Linked DNA regions of Arabidopsis thaliana. The protein of the gene in region 2 interacts with the protein of the main gene of each other region in a biochemical or structural test. Each region holds a gene or a part of one and is shown on either strand. Other genes may lie near its edges. The genes, in order: MBD5, CHR1 and MBD02.

Evidence for each region.
Region 1: the proteins of CHR1 (region 2) and MBD5 form a complex in vitro, tested with the Arabidopsis thaliana proteins (one study listed by BioGRID).
Region 3: the proteins of CHR1 (region 2) and MBD02 form a complex in vitro, tested with the Arabidopsis thaliana proteins (one study listed by BioGRID).

What each region holds. Positions count from the first base shown.
Region 1 is NC_003074.8:17,145,855-17,150,852, reverse strand, and holds MBD5 (methyl-CPG-binding domain protein 5), read right to left. Parts: upstream 2,622-4,998; 5' UTR 2,457-2,621; coding exon 2,286-2,456; intron 1,984-2,285; coding exon 1,858-1,983; intron 1,777-1,857; coding exon 1,525-1,776; 3' UTR 1,256-1,524; downstream 1-1,255. Other genes in the region: AT3G46570 (Glycosyl hydrolase superfamily protein), read left to right, coding at 3,986-4,998. UniProt on the Arabidopsis thaliana protein: Transcriptional regulator that binds CpG islands in promoters where the DNA is methylated at position 5 of cytosine within CpG dinucleotides. In addition, binds specifically methylated m(5)CpNpN but not m(5)CpNpG (N is A, T or C).
Region 2 is NC_003076.8:26,646,179-26,654,228, reverse strand, and holds CHR1 (chromatin remodeling 1), read right to left. Parts: upstream 5,333-8,050; 5' UTR 5,180-5,332; coding exon 5,148-5,179; intron 4,943-5,147; coding exon 4,864-4,942; intron 4,729-4,863; coding exon 4,462-4,728; intron 4,361-4,461; coding exon 4,274-4,360; intron 4,166-4,273; coding exon 3,819-4,165; intron 3,739-3,818; coding exon 3,549-3,738; intron 3,464-3,548; coding exon 3,288-3,463; intron 3,156-3,287; coding exon 3,089-3,155; intron 3,012-3,088; coding exon 2,822-3,011; intron 2,740-2,821; coding exon 2,644-2,739; intron 2,567-2,643; coding exon 2,472-2,566; intron 2,398-2,471; coding exon 2,278-2,397; intron 2,175-2,277; coding exon 2,055-2,174; intron 1,970-2,054; coding exon 1,871-1,969; intron 1,781-1,870; coding exon 1,676-1,780; intron 1,585-1,675; coding exon 1,360-1,584; 3' UTR 1,038-1,359; downstream 1-1,037. Other genes in the region: SDH1-1 (succinate dehydrogenase 1-1), read right to left, coding at 1-165, 346-453; AT5G66740 (spindle assembly abnormal protein (DUF620)), read right to left, coding at 5,671-6,153, 6,239-6,580, 6,828-7,115. UniProt on the Arabidopsis thaliana protein: ATP-dependent DNA helicase that plays a role in formation, organization, stability and heritability of heterochromatin and thus regulates several physiological traits.
Region 3 is NC_003076.8:13,522,341-13,528,180, reverse strand, and holds MBD02 (methyl-CPG-binding domain protein 02), read left to right. Parts: upstream 1-2,382; 5' UTR 2,383-2,560; exon of another isoform or gene 2,561-2,905; 5' UTR 2,906-2,910; coding exon 2,911-3,356; intron 3,357-3,461; coding exon 3,462-3,515; intron 3,516-3,933; coding exon 3,934-4,091; intron 4,092-4,295; coding exon 4,296-4,456; 3' UTR 4,457-4,778; downstream 4,779-5,840. Other genes in the region: AT5G35320 (DBH-like monooxygenase), read right to left, coding at 5,037-5,416. UniProt on the Arabidopsis thaliana protein: Probable transcriptional regulator.

The DNA.
Region 1 (4,998 bases), on a different chromosome or scaffold from region 2:
GAGCGTTTTTGTTTAGTTTAGTTAGAAATTATGATATATATTTTTCTAGATTATTTTTTGGTTGATGAATGATGTAGATTCGATTCACTCCAATCATATATATGAAAGTTGGCCAACTCTTTCCATATGATTGACACATCATCACTTTAACATTTGCCCTATGTCCACTAAATAATTAATGTAAGCTCTTCAACTTCTAATTTATAGATTAATGATGTATTTATTATTTAATTTTTCATATTTAATTGTACTAATACTAAATTTATTTTGTTATTATATGTTTTCAATAAAATTATTTTATCGGTTTTCTCATACTCGAAGATGTTTTTCTGTAATCTTAACTCAAATAATGAGTGTATAGTTGTCATGAATTATTTAATAGTTTGAATAGTTTGCAGATTTTTATCTATATAATAAATCACCGAGGGTAAAGAGTATGTAAGAAGTTTAATCATCAAATTCTTAATTAGGTTTCGAGAATCCCAGCATTACCCTCTATTTAATTGGTTTAAGACGAACATTGTTTAGGAAATGTGTATATGATGCATTGTTGAAAATGTTGTTTGAAAAAAATATTTTAATAATAAAAATAATTATTTATTACATGAGTGAATGATTAGATAATTAAAATTATATTTAAATTAAACGATAAAAAAATCTGAAAATATACCGCAGCGTAGTGCAGATGATTATCGACAAATCAACCGAAAATATCTTTTTTGAAAACTCGTTATTTTCGACGGGGGTGTATATGTTACTTTTGGTAATTATTCATCTCCACGCCGTTAGAATTCCTCGAATTTTGAGGTGGAGAATTTTTCCCATTTTGTTTTCTGATAGGAAACAAACGATAACTGAAAAGTGCGATAAGAACCCCTTTTTTATCCACTGCATAAGACAGAAAAGAATTATAGTCTTTGACGACAATGTTCTTAGCCATTTTAGAAAGAAAAAAAATTCTTAAACAAAGATCTAAAGAAAATATTTACTGTTCATAAACAACGAGCGTAAAATGTCAAAATTTAAAAATGCGTCTGCCGGGAGTCGAACCCGGGTCTATTGCTTGGAAGGCAATTATCCTAACCGTTGGACTACAGACGCTTTGGTTCATATTTTCACACTGTTCTGTTATAACTTGAACTTATTCCAAATTATGTCAGTATGCTTCCGTATATCATTTAGGACAAAGGCAGAGAAGCATAGATAGATAGAGCCTATGCATAACTGATGATTCACAATTTAAAGCAGAGAGAACTGAGCAGAGAAGTACCGCACATCGAACTTTAGATTTCATAACTTTGTTACTATCGGATTCTCTCAAAGGCAATAATATAGACATACATTGCCTTCAAATTATCTAAGAAAATGTTAAGAAAGTACATTACAACTCAAATCAAAGTGTTACTAAAACTATCACTACTAAAAAATTAACCTGCATTCCAACCAACGATCAGTAAATACTAAGTAGATATGATAATCTAGCAGCGCGTGTTATTACAATTTGTGAGTTTCTGCAGCAATCTTCTAGAACATCGTTTTTCCAGCGTTTTGGGAGGTGACAAGAGTGAATACTCTGTCCCAATCTTGGCTGACAGATTCTTGAATCTTGTAGTCCCCAATGAAAGGCAACCAAGCTTCTTCTGAACCGTTTATCCCAGTCCAAGTAACCTTCTCCGGCACATTCAGAAAATCGAAGTTCAACGGCTTTGGCGGTGGCTCAGTAACCTTTTTGTTGGATTTTGTCTGCCGCCTAGCGCTTCCTCTACCTTCAGAATGCTACAAAAATGTGCAAAAACAACAACAGTTCAGGTAAAACACGGGTTTAAACCTTAAGGTAATGTCTACTAACAAACTCACTTCGGAATGTGAGTCTCCGTTTTCCGCTGTCTTGACGGACTTCTTTTTAGGCGTCCCGTGTTCCAAATAGTACAAAACCTCGTTCTTGGACCGGAACTTACGACCCGTAATCGGTTCGTAGTAGAACTACATTACAAATACAAGACATCATCAAGCACTGCATTATCATATTCACACCTACAACATCCTAAACAGAGCAATCTTCATCCAACAAGCATACATACAGCAACGTTACACTTAAAGACTAGTTATAAAGTCTCCAAATACCTTAAAATATAAACCAATAAGATCATCATAACCTAACTTCAATACCCAATTTCATAAATACTAAGAAAAAGTTCCAATTCAAATCAACAAACAACATAACATTTCCATTTGTACGGACGATTCTATCTGCGAAGGAATTGAAAGGGCTGAGATTTTTTCACCTTATCAACAGTACCAGCTTTAGTGCCAGAGGTTCGAACCCTAATTTCGGTTCTCCAATCAGGAGGAAGCCAATTATCATCCCCTGGCGTCGCACGTTTCCGTGACTTCGAATCCACCGGAGTAGCCGGGTTCTCCGGTGGTGGTTGAGCCTGATCCGTGCCGTTCGACATTTCCGGAAACAAACCCTGTGGAGGTCTCCAGAGAAAGGTATGATTGAGTGAGTGTATATAAAATTGAGAGATTTTAATATTCCTTTCTTTTTGACTGAATCAGACAGAGTAAAAGACAGAAGTACAATTTGTAAGTTAGAAGTTTTGTTTCTGTTTTAAAGTTTGAGCTCGAGGAATGGCTTAATTAGCCACGTTGCAGTTTTTGGGCTTTTGGGCCCATTAAGGTAAATTAATTTCTTGTTGTGAATTAGAGTGGATAAAATATTTGTAACCGAAATCAAAATCGAAATGTGTGTAACTGATATAAATTATTTGAACAACTATGGGCCGATCGGTAAGGATGACGGTAAATGTTTTGGCTTTAAAAACTTTTACCATAGAAAATTTGGATGTAGAGACTTAACTGTTGAGATTTTAGATGTTAAATTCTGATTGGTAATATAAAGTTGTAAAAGCTTGAGTACTATTTTTACTATTATTAAATATATTTTTGTAAATAAAATTATGTTAAAATTGAATTATGTTTCAACATAGTGACACAAATATATTTTATTAATAATATAAAATTAAAATACAAAAAATATTCTTAAATAAATATTCTCAACAAATAAACTGCACATGTAATAAATAAATTATTTATTAGTAAATTGGATCTTAAAAGAAAATATAAAATTAATAATAATTAATTAATCAAAAATGATTTGTGAAAAAATATATATAAAATTGTAGAAAGTTTTTAATTATCATGGGAGAAGAAAAAGAAAAGTTTTAATATTTATTTGTTTGAAAGCCATGTAATCGTGACTTTAAAAAAAAAAAGGAAACAAAGAACAAATAAAAACAAGGCTTTGAGAACTTTAAAAAAAAATAAAGTCAAGAAAGCATGACTGTTAAAATAAAAACTGTGAGGACTTTAAAACACCTTTAAAGCTATGAGAGCATCCACATCGGTGATCAGTATATTGGATGTCTTAACTGCCAAATGAAGAGAGAGAAATTTATTGATAAAATGAACAGAGAGAAAATTGTTGGTCAAATGAAGAGAAAAAATAAAAAACAATAACACCAACCAATAGCATGGTGACACATTCGTGTTTTCCCGTATCAAAAAATGTTTTTCCACAGACATTAAAGTCATCATGTCACTCCTATTCAGCGCATTAATTCTCATCTTCCTATTTTTTTTATTCTGTTAAAATTTGAAGACACCTTTTAAATTTGTCCGATGAGGATGGTCTGAGAGTCCCTTCCCAATCACCCCCAAATACAATTAATTTGCAACTATTTACATCCTTATTAATGGTTTCAATTATCAAATGTTATTAATTTATGATTATTACATTATGTAGCAAAACTTCCACGTTTAGCAAAACTTCCACGTTTAGCAAAACTTACTAGGAGTGAGTGATTTTTTGGGAGCCACTCGCTCACGTCTCCACAATCAAACCGAACACGATCATGCTCCCAAAAAACAACTCCTAGTAAGTTTTGCTAAACGTGGAAGTCATAAAATAAACTCATTCACGATCATGTTGGGATCTAGAGTTGTTCATCAACTTTACTTCCTAATTCTCACTCTCATCCTTCCCTTCTCCGCTGCATATCAAGTCGGCGTAAACTACGGCACCGTGGCCAACAACCTCCCACCGCCTCACCAAGTCGTCAACTTCATCAAAACAAAAACAATAATCAACCACGTCAAAATCTTCGACACAAACCACGACATCCTCGCCGCATTTTCCGGCATTACAGGAATCTCCCTCACCGTCACCGTCCCAAACTCCGATATCATTTCTCTTTCCAAGCTTTCCAACGCACGTTCATGGCTCTCCGACAACCTCCTCCCCTTCCTCCTAACAACTTCAATCCGTTACATTGCTGTCGGAAACGAAGTCGTCGCCACATCCGACAAAACCCTCATCACTCATCTCCTTCCCGCTATGGAGACGCTTACGTTAGCATTACACCTTGCTAACGTCAGTAGGATCTTAGTCTCGACGCCTCACTCGCTCGGTATCCTCTCAGGCTCCTCCGAGCCACCTAGCTCCGGAAAGTTCCGTAAAGGGTACGACAAAGCCATCTTCTCTCCAATCCTAGACTTCCACAACCGCACCAAGTCTCCTTTTATGGTTAACCCGTATCCATATTTCGGTTTCGGACCTGAAACGTTAAACTACGCACTCTTTAACACAAACGACGTTGTATATGTTGACCCGGTTACGAAGTTGAACTACACCAACATGTTCGACGCTCAGCTTGATGCTGTTTACTCCGCAATGAAACGATTTGGGTACGGTGACGTGGACATTGTTGTGGCTGAGACCGGTTGGCCTTCAGCTGGTGAACCGAACCAAACCGGCGTCGGTTTAGATTATGCCGCAGCTTACAATGGGAACCTTATAAAGCATGTGAATTCTGGTAAGGGCACTCCATTGATGCCAAACCGGGTTTTCGAAACTTATGTTTTTTCTCTCTTCAACGAGAATCTCAAATCTTCGGTTTCAGAGCAAAACTTCGGTTTGTTTAAACCGGACTTCACCCC
Region 2 (8,050 bases):
AGCAGCAACAGTATGTGACCTTGTGGGGAAAAGCTTAGTAATGCAAGCGGTGTTAAAGCCATGCTCCGATAACCCAATCGCCGCCCTAAGACCAGCACCACCAGCTCCCACCACAACCGCATCATAAGTGTGATCCACTATCGTATAAGAGGATCTCGTATCGGTCTACTCAACAGATAACCAAAATAAACACCACAAAACAAATCGATCAAAATTTTCCCCGATTTTCAACAATTTGCTCGACTACTAACGCATTTGAATGGCGGATAAAACTATGATTCGTGAATTACATAAGATCGAATTAGAAAATAAACAAAACGGAAGGAGAAGGAAGAGAGATCATACAGAACCAGTGGAGAAGAATCTGGAAAAGCGAGATCCAGAGACGCCATCAAAGAGTGAAGAGGTCTTTGAAGCAGGAGCTCGAAAGCCACGAGAGACGCAGCGCCACATCGTCTTGTTGTTGATTCCACAAGCGAGTCAGTTTCTTCGATGCAAATCTCCGTAGAAGAAATGAGAGAATACGAATTTCGCGTAGAGGAGGTTTCCTTTAAGAGGAAGACGCGAACGGAGTGAGAGATAGCCACCGAGGCGCTTAAAATAAGAAAAATGGAAAACGATGATGACTTCTCTTAAATTCCCTTAATTACCCCTATTCTCACTCCATATTTACTCCTAAACCGGGTTTGCTTTACTAACTAAAACCCCCTAAGATTAGCTCTTGTAATGGTCAAATTGTCAATAATACCCCACTGCATACTTTTACCCAAATGTTTGGTGCCTGCCCCATTCATTCTTGTCGGCGTCTCGTGTTCATGTTTTAGTCCATTAGATGCAAAACCGATAAAACTAAATATTTACTATTTACAAGAATAGACATCAACAAATCCGATGTCGTCCAGCGGTTAGGATATCTGGCTTTCACCCAGGAGACCCGGGTTCGATTCCCGGCATCGGAGCTTTTTGCTTCTTTTTTAAACCCTACTCAAGTTTTTAATATTCTGTGAAACTATTGAGCCTAATCATATAAGTTAACAAATCCCAAATCCAAAACATAAGATCCCATAAGTTCGTGAGAAATAGCTCAATGCCAAAATTGCAGACTACAAAGACTATAAACGTACACAAGTCATAATATTACCGCAACAGCAAAATCAGAGGGCCAATTGTTTTCATCACATTGAGAGCTAATCACCATTAACTGTCATGTTTTCAGGGTTTTAAGTGAGTTCTTTAACTTACAAAAACTTCCGAGCCCTCTAATAATTAAATCCTCCCAGCCAAAAGTAACCGATCATGTTCCGGAAAAAAAAAAAAAAAACACAGAAGTGGTTTCAAGGCCTGGCTTATTAATGTGTCCTAACTGTTCAGGGAAGACAGCATTCCTCCCGAACTAGGCAGGACCACTTCCCAACCTGGACCCTTCACTGGAAAAGCTTCAGCAGCTTGTGTCTCTCCCGGTGCAGTAATTGTCAGGTCACTCCGGTCAAGTAACCTGTCAAGATCCGCATCGCTTATATCGGTTTGTATCAACTTATCTTCAGCAGTTTCATCTTCCTTAAGCAACGCCAGTATGTCCTCTTCCTGTGTGTTAGTTTGGTTCAAGCTGTCAATAGGAGATTTTGTTGATAATAAGTGTATCTAAAAAGGATTGAGCTTTAAGAGAAGTTAAAACCTCTAAAGGTGTTGAAGACTTGGCACGTTCTTGATGAAACTGCCCTTGGCCAATAACCACATGTTCCAGCTTGAGCTTACTGTACGCTCGTTTCAGAACCCGGGTCTGAGCAAATGTCATAAACCAATCTCATGAGGCAACAATCTCAATGGTTTGAAGTTAAGATTGATTGATATGAACAACAAAGAGTTTTACCTCTATCGACTGAGCCGTGGAAAGCCTATAAACATGAACAGGTTTCGTCTGCCCGATTCTGTGGCATCTGTCCATGGCTTGCAAGTCCATTTGAGGGTTCTGGAGATCAGACAAAACACAGTTGGAGACAACACGAAAGAGAAAGATTTTCCTTCAAAGAAAATAAATTAATTGATTTGATTACCCAGTCGCTGTCATAGAGGATGCATGTATCAGCAGCAGTAAGATTGATTCCGAGTCCTCCAGCTCTGGTACTCAGGAGAAATATACTACAGCTGCTCTTCTCATCACTGAAATCTTTAATCTGTTTCAAGGCAAAGAGAGAGAGAGAGAGACCTTATGGTTATAATATTTGGTCAGAATATTGCTTAAAAGCAACGCAAAAGCAGCATAAGCACAGGTGAAACCTGTCTTCTCCTTTCATCCAGCTTCACACTGCCATCGATTCTGCAAACCTCAAACCCCTTCTCACTGAAGTAGTAATCCATAATGTCCAAAAGTTTCGTCCATTGGGAGAAGATAAGGACCTGGTCATCAGCAAATGGATCAGAGAAGTTCTCAAAGGGAAATGAGCTACGAGCCATGGGTTTGTGAAACATACTTTGTGATTATTGGCAAATAACCGAACAAGTAATCTCTCCAATAAGCGGAATTTACCACACTGTCCAACAATCTCTTCAACAGGAGGGTAGAGATCTGTCACGAAATGAAACAATTAGACAGAACAGTATGACAGAAGTTTTTCTTACGTTTCTTAAAAGAAACTGACATACATGAACCATCTATTTGCCCCTGGAGAAGGTCAGGATGGTTGCAGTTCTTTCGAAGTTGAATGACCAGGTTGTTAAGCTTTCCCTTCCAGCCTTGACCTGAAGTATAGGGGATGAACAAATCAATGCAGAAAATGACATAATTAAACAAAGTATTAAAAAAAAAAAATAGATCATGTACCTCGGATGGCATTCTCTCCAAGATGTGCTTCCAACGTGTTATTCACCAGATGTTCCTGGAACTTTTTCTGATGATCAGTCATTGTAGCATACATTATAATCTCCTTTTTCCGTGGAAGTGAGAGCTCAACATCACATTTCATTCTTCGAAGGATGAATGGTCGTAGTATACCATGAAGTTTGGAAACAACCTAGACAAGATGTACCCTTAGCATAAGACATAAATACAATCAAAGAAATAAAGGAAAATTGATATAATTGTACATACTTGAGCTCTTCTTTTCTCTTCTTCTTCCTTGGTTGCTTCGTTTTTGTTCTTTTCAGAAAAATCAAACCTGTAGAGACTCATCTATCAGTTAGATACTAAGAAAGGAATAAATGTCAAAAAGCTGCCACCAGTGTTAACAAAAAAAAAAAAAAAAAGAAGACTAGTTAGGGATAATAGTAGAAAAGGACCATGTTTGTACCATGATTCAAATTCATCATGTGATGTAAAGATGTCAGGCAGAATAAAATTTAACAAAGACCAAAGCTCAGAAAGATTATTTTGCAGAGGTGTTCCTGTCAGCAGAAGTTTGTTATCCATCTTCAAGTGTTTTAGTTCCCTCAACAATTTACACTTGTGGTTTTTCAACCTGTGGCCCTATAATATACAAGAACAAAATTATCAGTTAGAGAGATCATCTTGATCTTCAAAGCCTAGTACATTGACCAATCTCGGAATTTACCTCATCAATCACAACATATTTCCATGGATAGTGCCGCAGAATTCTTTTAGCATCATTCATGGCAACCTCATAAGAAGTAATAACTATAGGGAACTTGGGACCAACAGTTTTAGGCATGTGCTTCCTCCTGAGCTCATCCCTTTGATTTTTATCCCCATGGTAGATGATTGCATTGATGGAAGGCGTGAACCTAATGGAAAAGGTAAGAAAACTTTCAACAGAAACCCCAAAGCATTGGATCTATACAAACACATATGGCCATGAGAGTACCTAGCAATCTCATTGAACCAATTTGAAAGTGTAGACAGTGGAGCAATGACTAGATATGGACCATCCAACCCATTCCCTTTCAGATGTGATAAGAAACCGATCGTTTGAATCGTCTTTCCAAGTCCCATTTGATCAGCTAATATTCCATTCAAACCATTCTGCCACAATGATATTAGCCATTTGACACCTTTAAGCTGATAAGACTTTAACTGTCCACCAGTGAGAAGAGGACAAAGTTCATTCTGCAGTTTGATGACTGTTTCTTCCTCTGTCAGATCTGAGTTGATGGTCTCACCATCTTCTTTAGATCTTGAAATCATAGCAGCAACCGCTCTCTTAGCCTTAGTCTGATTGAAGAAAAAAGCATCCAAGTAAGTTACTTTCTCAAACAAGCAGAAAAAACAATATATACAAGATCATGCATAGTAGTTGAAAATTATATAAATGGAACCAACATTGTTGTACTGAGAAGCAGCCTTTCTTTTGCGTCCACGACCAGTCTTCTCGGGCTCAGCTTTTTGGCTCTCACTTTCTATCCCATTCTAGCAAAACAAATTTCACCCACAAGTTGTTCAAACTAAGAATAATGACTCCCATTCGAAAAGTGAGAAACCACAAAGAAGAAAGAAATAAAGAAGATTACAATTGTGATATCCTCCATTTTCTCAAGGAGAAACTCAGAGTAGAGCTGAGTTTGCGTCAAGAGCTCATCAAGTTTAGTAAACTGAGTTTCATTCAGATTAGGAGCAACAGCAGATCCAGCATTGTTAGCTTTCTCTTCATCTTCCCGAAGTTTGAGCAGCTGCTCTTCCTCCTGAGCCATGGCTTCAGAAATAAGAGAAGAATCTCCATTTTTGGCTAGAAGTATCTCTTCCTCTACAACAGTAACACTTTTCTCCTCACAGTTTTCCTTCACATTCAGAAAAAAAGGACCAAAAAGGACCCATTTACAGAACACCCCAGATTTAAAGAAACAAAGAGTAACACACAAAGTTTCACAAAGCAACCACACTACGAAGGCAAAATAGTAGAACATAGAACAAACCTCTTCGTTGAGAACAGAAGTGGGTGAATCACCAGACGCATCTTTCTCCGTTTTCCCGTCGCTGACCATTTCCGAAGCCCTAAGAGTCCAAAAATCCAAAATCGAGAAATGATAAATCAACAGTGAGACCAATAGTCAGAGAATATAATCCAAAAACACGACAAACAAAATTACGCAGAGAGGGAACCAAAAACCACCAAGAACAGCGAGCGATTTCGAGAGCGTTAAGGACCTAGAAAATCGCCGGAAATAACGAAATGAAAAGGAAAGGTGGAGGGACTTACGGAATAACTTTTCTGGAGCGCAGACTAACCATCGAAGGAGAAGGAAATTCCGGTAAGAAAAACCCAAACGGCGGGAGAAATCACCGAGCCAAACAGTCGTCTCCGTCGCTTTTGAGAGCAAATTCAAAACCGAGGGTATATTGAAAAAACACACTCTCATATTTACGCCTATTTTCTTATTTTTTATTAAATTGGGAGTAGCGCCCATGGGCGGGAAGCTTGAAATGACAGGTTTACCCCTAACCCTTATTTACGATTTTGGTCATATGATCATCCTATTATTAAACTAAAAAACATTTAATGGAATGGGCATTATTAAATCTGCTGGATTTGTCGACACAATTAGTAATAACCTTTGTAGTGAATTGAAGCTTCAAACTATATGAGTAGTACAAAATTGCCAATTTCAAATGCAAAAATTGTGTCAAGAATATCTCAGTTGCACGAGTGTGTTGATAATGTATCTCAAAAAGTTATGATATCGGCTAAAAACGAATAACAATATTTTTAATAAAAAGCTAAATCATTTTTCGATCTGCAAATTGGCCGGAGGAAGAAAATGATCAACGGAGAGACCCCAAACATTAAAATCAACTTCTTCTATCCTCCACTTCTCCGTCATCTGTCTCCGATGATTCGCCGACGCTTCACCGTACCGGAAAACCGTGACCGATGTTTTCCCGCCGTGAGCGATGTTCACATTGTCAACGTATCGGTAATCATCCATCACCGACTCAGCACTAGTCTCCCAGAAGACATCTTCGTCTTCCTTGGTCCTCATTCTCAAAAGCCGCGAATCTTCGAACTGAATCAAAAGTCCCGATCTTTGACTAAAATAACCCCATATCGTGTGATGAATTATCTCAAAATTCGGACCGCTTTGAGCTTCTCGAACCGCCGGACTCGTCTCCAGTTTCAAGATAAAGCAATCCTCACCGTTGATTATCTTCTCTCCGATACACGTTGCGTCAAGAAACAGATTCGCCGTCGAACGAGGATCTAACCCCTGCTCAAACAATAAATAAACCACCGGTTCAACATTTTGAGAACCGGACATTACATCAAAAAAAAAATCAATAACCGGATTGGACCTGTAAAAACCGGCGGAGAGGTCTTGGCGTTCCGGTAGACGCCGGAGTTTGCTGGTTAGAGGAATGTCGCCATGAAAGCCGACCGTTGCTTCCACATATCACTTTGCAACCGGAGACGACGAGCTCCAAACACCAAAGATCTGGATCCTTTTGCCATAAAACGAAACCACCCATTTCGTCGTTGCTCTTTAGATTAACGCCCGAATCATCTCCTTGATGAAACTCCGACGCCGTCATCTTCACTTGTCCCGTGACGCACATGCTGTTCACGGCGTTTAACGCCTGTGGTCCTCCCGTCGCTGCTATGTACTGCTGTACAATGTATTTCGCCGTTGAAGCTTGCTGCAATCGTAATTCATAAGCAAAAAAACAATGAAACTGAAGTTGATGACTCTGTGTACGATGAATAATGTAATGCAGACTTGCAGAGTACAACACATGGATTAACAACTTTATGTTGAATACTTACGAAGCAGGGTAATGACTTTTTTGGGTTTTGATCATAAAAGAAAAAAAGAAAAAAAAAAGAGGAATCATATTTTCAACATCTTTGTTATGTTTTCATAAGGATTGATTTTGAATGACTTACAATGGAGCAATCTTTGACGGGCTTATGAACAGAGTGACCGACTTGAACCTGGAGAGGTATAAGAGGCGAGCCAACGAGGTAGAGAAGGAACCGGAGCTCGTTGATACGAGCGGCGATAAGCGGTTGCGACCATTTATCAGACGTTTGAGCTTTCATCCACGTCATCATATTTTGCCACCTAAGTGCAACGTTGTTGCCCATACCGGAAAACATCTCCTCCGGTATCGGAACTTCCAACACCGTCTCCAGACCATCGTCTTTGTCTATGTTCGGACACAGCTTCCTCATACACTTCCCACTCCTTCTATTCTTTCTGTTCCTCTGTTTCTCTTTTGTTCTATTGGTGATCGATTGTATGAAACCCACAAATGGTTCGAAGATTGTCAGCACTACTGTGATTCATGAAACCTCTTTTTTCTTTCTTCTTTTTTTCGTATAATTGATGATTCCAAAATTTGTTTCGTCCTCGTTTAATTGTTTTTTAAGGTCTTCCAATTTATATTTGTGGTTCTCCTTTGATTTAGGCTATTTTCATTGGCATTTTAGTTCCACTCTTAATTAGTTCTAAATTTTCCGAGAAGTCACAATCTTCCTTAATTAGCATTGTATTCGTGACAACAATCCCTATATATATACGACGTTGAAGTTGCAACATAGACACAAGTAAGATGGTGGACATAGTTATATAGAATGCATGGATCCGAATAATGATATTAATATTGGATAATAATAAAATACTATAACACTTGCGCTCAGTGGTCAAAATTTCCATTGTAAAAATCCGAATGATGGAAAAAGATAAATGCACATGTTTTTCTAGTTATTGGAAATTTTCATATTTGTAGACTGATTTGCGTGGTCTTGGGGTTTGCCCTCTTCTTCAGGATTCGTTTTTATAAAATTACAATATACTGTAATATTGGTAAACCAGTCATTCCATCATTTTCATATTTTAAATTCATTAGTTTAGTCTTTGCCTCTTTTGCCACCATTTTCTCTAGGATTTCGTATGATAAAATAATAACATTATTTTCGCAACAAATATTAATTTGTTTCCTACAATTGTGTGAGACCACAAGATATTCATGTGTGCATTTTTAGACAAACAATTTGAACCATTTATTTTCCGAAGATAAAAGATATCAAATAAAAACTCATACTATACTATACAAAAAAATGTGTGGTAAATGAACATAACTCCCATGGGGACTACTCATTAAAAA
Region 3 (5,840 bases), about 13 Mb from region 2:
CTATATTGTTGATCGGGTACAACAAAAAACAAAAGGGTGGTCAACTCGATTTCTATCAGAAGCCGGAAAAGAAATCTTAATAAAGACAGTGGCTTTGTCATTACCAGTTTACACAATGAACTGTTTCAAACTTCCAAAGGGGATATGTGATGATATCAACAGATTACTTGCGTCTTACTGGTGGAGTAAAAGCTCGGATAAGAGATCAATGCACTGGATGGCTTGGAAGCGGCTGACCATACCAAAGAATGAAGGCGGGTTAGGATTTAGGGACATTGAATGCTTTAATAAAGCCATGTTAGCAAAACAAGTGTGGCGAATACTTCAAGCACCATCATCCCTGCTCACTCGCCTCTTACGTGGAAGGTACTTTGAAACAACAAATATTCTGAATGCAAGAACCGGAGGAAGCCCTCTTTCATTTGGAGATCCATTCTAGAAGGACGAGACCTCCTGCAGCAAGGACTTCGAATCCTTATAGAAGATGGCAAACAGACAAACATATGGACTGATTCATGGCTTCCAACACACCCACCAAGACCACCTCAAAAACGTGATGCGACGGTCACCAATCATACACAAGTCAAGCACCTAATGCAAGATGGCAGAAACATGTGGAATAAAGAAGTAATAGAAGAACTCTTTGAAGCAGATGAAGCACGATTGATACAAGGTTAAGATTAAGATCACAACCGTCCCCTGATGTACTAGGCTGGAACTACACAAAGCATGGGGAATACACATTCAAATCAAGTTATTGGCTCTGTACACATCTACCGAATCAACAACATGATTATGTTCCCCCACCAGGTTTACCCGAGTTTAAGAGAGTAGTATGGAAGCTAGACACGACACCAAAACTAAAGCACTTCATGTGGCGGATAGTAACTCAATCATTGGCGACAGGCGAGGCCTTGACACGACGACATATCATTTCAGATTCACAGTGTAAACGATGTTGTGCAGCTCCTGAAACATTAGAACGCCTATTCTTTGGATGCCATTATGTTCAAGCTATTTGGAGGGGCTCTCCGGTGTCACATACAGCGTTTTTCAATCCACACTTACCTTTTGAAGATAAATTCAGATTAATCCTTCAATGCTGTACTGATACGAGACAAGACCATATCACAAGACAAATACCTTTATGGATGTTGTGGCACATATGGAAGAGCAGGAATTTGTTAGTTTACCAGCGAAAAGGGAGTAATTGGCAAGATGATGTACAAAAAGCGATAACAGACTCATATGAGTGGATTCCTCTGCAGCGAGACACACAACGACGAAGTCTAAATGACAGAAGCGGGCAAGGGTAGCAAAAACCTATTCACGGCTTTATCAAATGCAATTATGACTGCAGTTTCTCAAGGAATGATCTAGCACCAAAGGCTGGTTGGATTTTACGAATTGACACAGGCAGTTATCTACTTGCGGCTCAAGGTACAAGACAACTATGCAACTCAGTGCTAGAAGCGGAACTACAGGCTCTCTTGATGGCAATGCAACATACATGGAGTAGAGGATATCGAAAGATTATATTTGAAGGTGATAATAGGACTGTGGAAAGCTTACTCAATGGGAACACAAGGAATTTTGAACTTCATAACCTCGTCATGGAGATACAACATTGGCGGAAGAAGTTTTCTACTGCCATTATCAAATGGTCTTTCCGGTCAACTAACAAAGCAGCTGATCGATTAGCTAAAGTGGAGTTAGAAAACATTGTTACTTTTGTCTCTCATTCTTATGTACCTCTGTTTCTTGTACAAATCCTCCATAGGATTACACATCATCCCTCTAATAAAGTATATCTGTTAATGTTAAAAAAAAATAAAAAAAAAAGAATCGGTTATTTTCGGGTTTTAAACTTAAAAACCAAAGAAACCAATATCCGAATCGAACCGAACCGTAATAAATTTCGGTTAGTTTCGGAAGAATTTTCAAAAATCCAAAATAACCGAAACCCGAAATAACCGACTCGGTTCGGTTCGGTTTACCCGAAGTCGCAGGCCTAATATTTTATATCAACAATTGACATATATTTTGACCCAAAAAAAAAAAATCAACAATTGACATATATTTGTTTTTATTAAAGTTTAATTTACATATTATGGAAGTCTCAAAATATTTGTTAAACAATGGCAAATATTTGTTAGACATATTTCATCTATTTAGCATGCACAACACGAATCCATATCTAATATTAGAAAGAATTATCCTTTGATTCTTTTTTTCTGAAGGAAATTTTGATTAATGGTAAGATTTGTTTATAAGCCCAAAAGCACAAATATTCTCCTACTTATAGCATGATATATTTTGAAGTGAATGTAAATTAAGAATTATTTTCGTAACAACAAATTTTATATTTATACAAAATAAATTAAATTCAGTTTCTTTCTCTCTTCTCTTTCTCGGTTTCCCCATTTTCTATCTAGACAAAGAGTGTTGTCTGAATTGGCTCTGTCTCAAAAAATGAAATTCTCAAATTAACCACAACGATCTTTAGAGCCTTCTTCGCTCACCGATCTCTGAAACCCTGGTTTGCTCTCGTCCTCTTCGTGTAACGATTCTTCTTCTTGATAAATTTTTAATCTTTGTTTCGGCTTTTCGATGAAATTGTTTTTTTTTTGGATCTCGTCTCTATCAGCTCATGTTCTTCTTTGATTATATGATAATTGTTGTTTCCTTTGCTCTGTTTTATGATTATTGTTGATTTTTGAGATTGAAATGTTCGAGGGTTTCTACTGTTCACTGTTCTTTACACGTATCAATGTTTTCTTGATCATGTTCTCTTATGATGTTAATAGAGAGACTAGTGTTATTGTGATGAATGATTCTTGTTAACTAAATTTGTCATTTTTGTTTTCACTTGACATTCATTTCTCTAACCATTTATTATAGGTAGTTTCTATGAGTATGTCGCAGTCTCGAGCTGTCCAAAGATCGTCTTCACCTAATGAGGATAGAGGTGAGAATCAGTTAGTGGTTTATGACTTGAAAGGAAATGATGATACTGAAGAAGAAGTTCTACCGGTTCAATCTCAGCCTTTGTCATCTAGAACACAGTGTCCCTCTATCGGGGCATTTACGGTTCAGTGTGCAAGTTGTTTCAAATGGAGACTCATGCCTTCAATGCAGAAGTATGAAGAGATTAGGGAACAGCTTCTTGAAAACCCGTTTTTCTGCGATACAGCGCGTGAGTGGAAGCCGGATATTTCTTGTGATGTTCCTGCTGATATCTATCAAGATGGAACTCGTCTTTGGGCTATTGATAAACCGAATATCTCTCGTCCACCCGCTGGCTGGCAACGTTTACTGCGGATTAGAGGTGAAGGAGGTACCAGATTTGCTGATGTGTATGTCGTTCGTTAACTCTTCTCTCATTTATGTTAATATTAGTCTTTCTTCTTTATACCATTGTATTGGCTTTCTTTATCATTCTTTTATCTTGGTTGTTTCAGTTATTATGTTGCTCCGTCTGGAAAGAAGCTTCGATCAACTGTGGAGGTCCAAAAGTTAGTTTCTCTACCACTCCATTTCCACATTTTCGTTTTCACATTTAACAAAGTGTTCCTTACTTTTATGTTTGATGAGGTCTCACTGTATCAGTCTTACCATTTTCGTCAACCAATATATTGAATCAGTAGGAACCTCAAGTATTGTTCTGTGGTCATAACTAGAGTTAGGCACTTATGCAAATTACAGAAATCCTTGCATGTGTTTTGTTTACTAACGAAAATGTACTATGCCAAGAAGTTAGTTAAACTATCATCCTTATTTCCATGATACTTCCCTGCAGCATTTGAGAGTGACAACAATGGTAGGAGAAAAAAGCTTAGTGACTTACCAATTCGTTTAGTGATTACCAAATTGTTTTCAGTGACGTATAGCTAGCTTCTTTACACCCTTATAACCACTATTACTGGTTTGCAGGTACTTGAATGACAACTCCGAATACATTGGAGAAGGGGTGAAACTTTCACAGTTCTCGTTTCAAATCCCGAAACCGCTGCAGGATGACTACGTGAGGAAGCGCCCAGCTCGACTACTGGATTCCATCGATAATACAAACACCCCTGTAGCTAAAGAAGGTGTGTTGCTTATCAAGGCACATAAATATAATTGTGGTTATCTTTTGTATCAAGGCTTTAGATTATTGATGTCATTTTTTCAGTCAAGAGTGTATTTGACGTATACTCGAACCGAACATTGGTGTCTTTAGGGAACTTTATTAACATGAAAACGTCTATGCTTTTACAAGTTTCTAACATTTCGCTTGTCTTGTTATTTTTCAGCTAATCCACTGGCATGGATATCTCCAGATGATCATATATCGTTGCAGCTAGGTACGCCAACCGAGTCTGGACTTAACAATTCACATTACCAACCATCGAAAAAGAAAAAAACATCGACGCTATCAATCTTTGGCTCCAACGACGAACTTGCTGATAGATAATCTAGCTAGACGAGAGTGAACTTATCTCGTCTTCTCTGGTATATAACCCGTCTTCTTTCTTCGTTTTTTGGGTTTGTCTTATCGAAGAAACTGAAAGCATGTGGTTAGCTTGTTTTTTGTGTATACCATCTATTTTGTTTTGCAGTGTAACATACTTTCTATGAAGAAGATGGGTCCTTTTGGTTTTTGCTTCCAAATAACTGGATTTTCATGCTGAAAGTTTTTAAACCTAAAGTTTGATTATTACCAAATTCCATTATCTCACAAATCCACTAGAGGACTGACACAAGAAAGCAGATAAGAATAGATCAGAGTCTGTTTAACTGTAGATGTGCATGTTAAGTTGGAACGTAGTTTATCTCAAAGGATATTTTAACGACATCCAAAAGATAACATTCGAAAGTCAAAACCATCCTAGGGGAGATATGGCTGAAGCTATTAGTTTGGTAAACATACAACAACAAAACTATGCCATATCTCTAATCTGCGCAAAAGGCAGAAACAAAAACTAACAACAAATCTGCCTTCTACTATCCTGCTTCGTGCATTCCCTATTCAGTTTTCCCGTGGTTAAGCCGTATCATCGGAACCAAGTGATGGGAGTGGGAGTAGTACTGACTTGAGGAAGCTGCGGAATCATACAGTTTTGCGCTTGCTGCCACGGATGCAAGCCAAAACCATAGGTGTGCTCTTGCTCTTGCTGCTGTCCTTGCTGAGGGAAAGATAGACTGGTGCTTCCAGTATCCTCTTCTATCTCATTGGATGCATCATCCATTACCACATCCTCACCTGTCTCATCCAACTCAGTAATCTCTAGTGTCCGCGGTTGTTGGAAGGTTCCTATGGACTGTGAGTAAGTAGACTGAGACGGATTCCAGCAAACAACAGCTTGACACTTGTTTAATCTCTCATCTTCATACTGATTATCATCAGCTATCGATACATCGCGAAGAAATCTATCTGCACAAGTGTTAACATTCAGAATTTAGACACAACCGTCTGTATTTAGTCAACATTCTGGATCACAAGTTAAAGGCAAACAAACAAAACGAACCAGAACAAAATCTGACACTAAGACACAGCAAAATCCTCATAATATCTATGATAATTTCCCAGTTAACATGACAATCTGTTCAACATATAAAACTATATGAGCTCATACCATATAAACTAGATTATCTGCACTGTTTACTGAAACTTATGGAGATATCTCAAAATAAAGAAGATACTCTTAACTTATTGAGCTAAGACATTGTTGTGACATAGTAGTTTCTAAAGTTAACTTACAAGCCCTTTAACAATCATAGACTGAAACTTATCTCATTACTAAAGAAAGTTCAAAAGAATCATCACTAATACACTTCAACAACAACGTTATACCTAA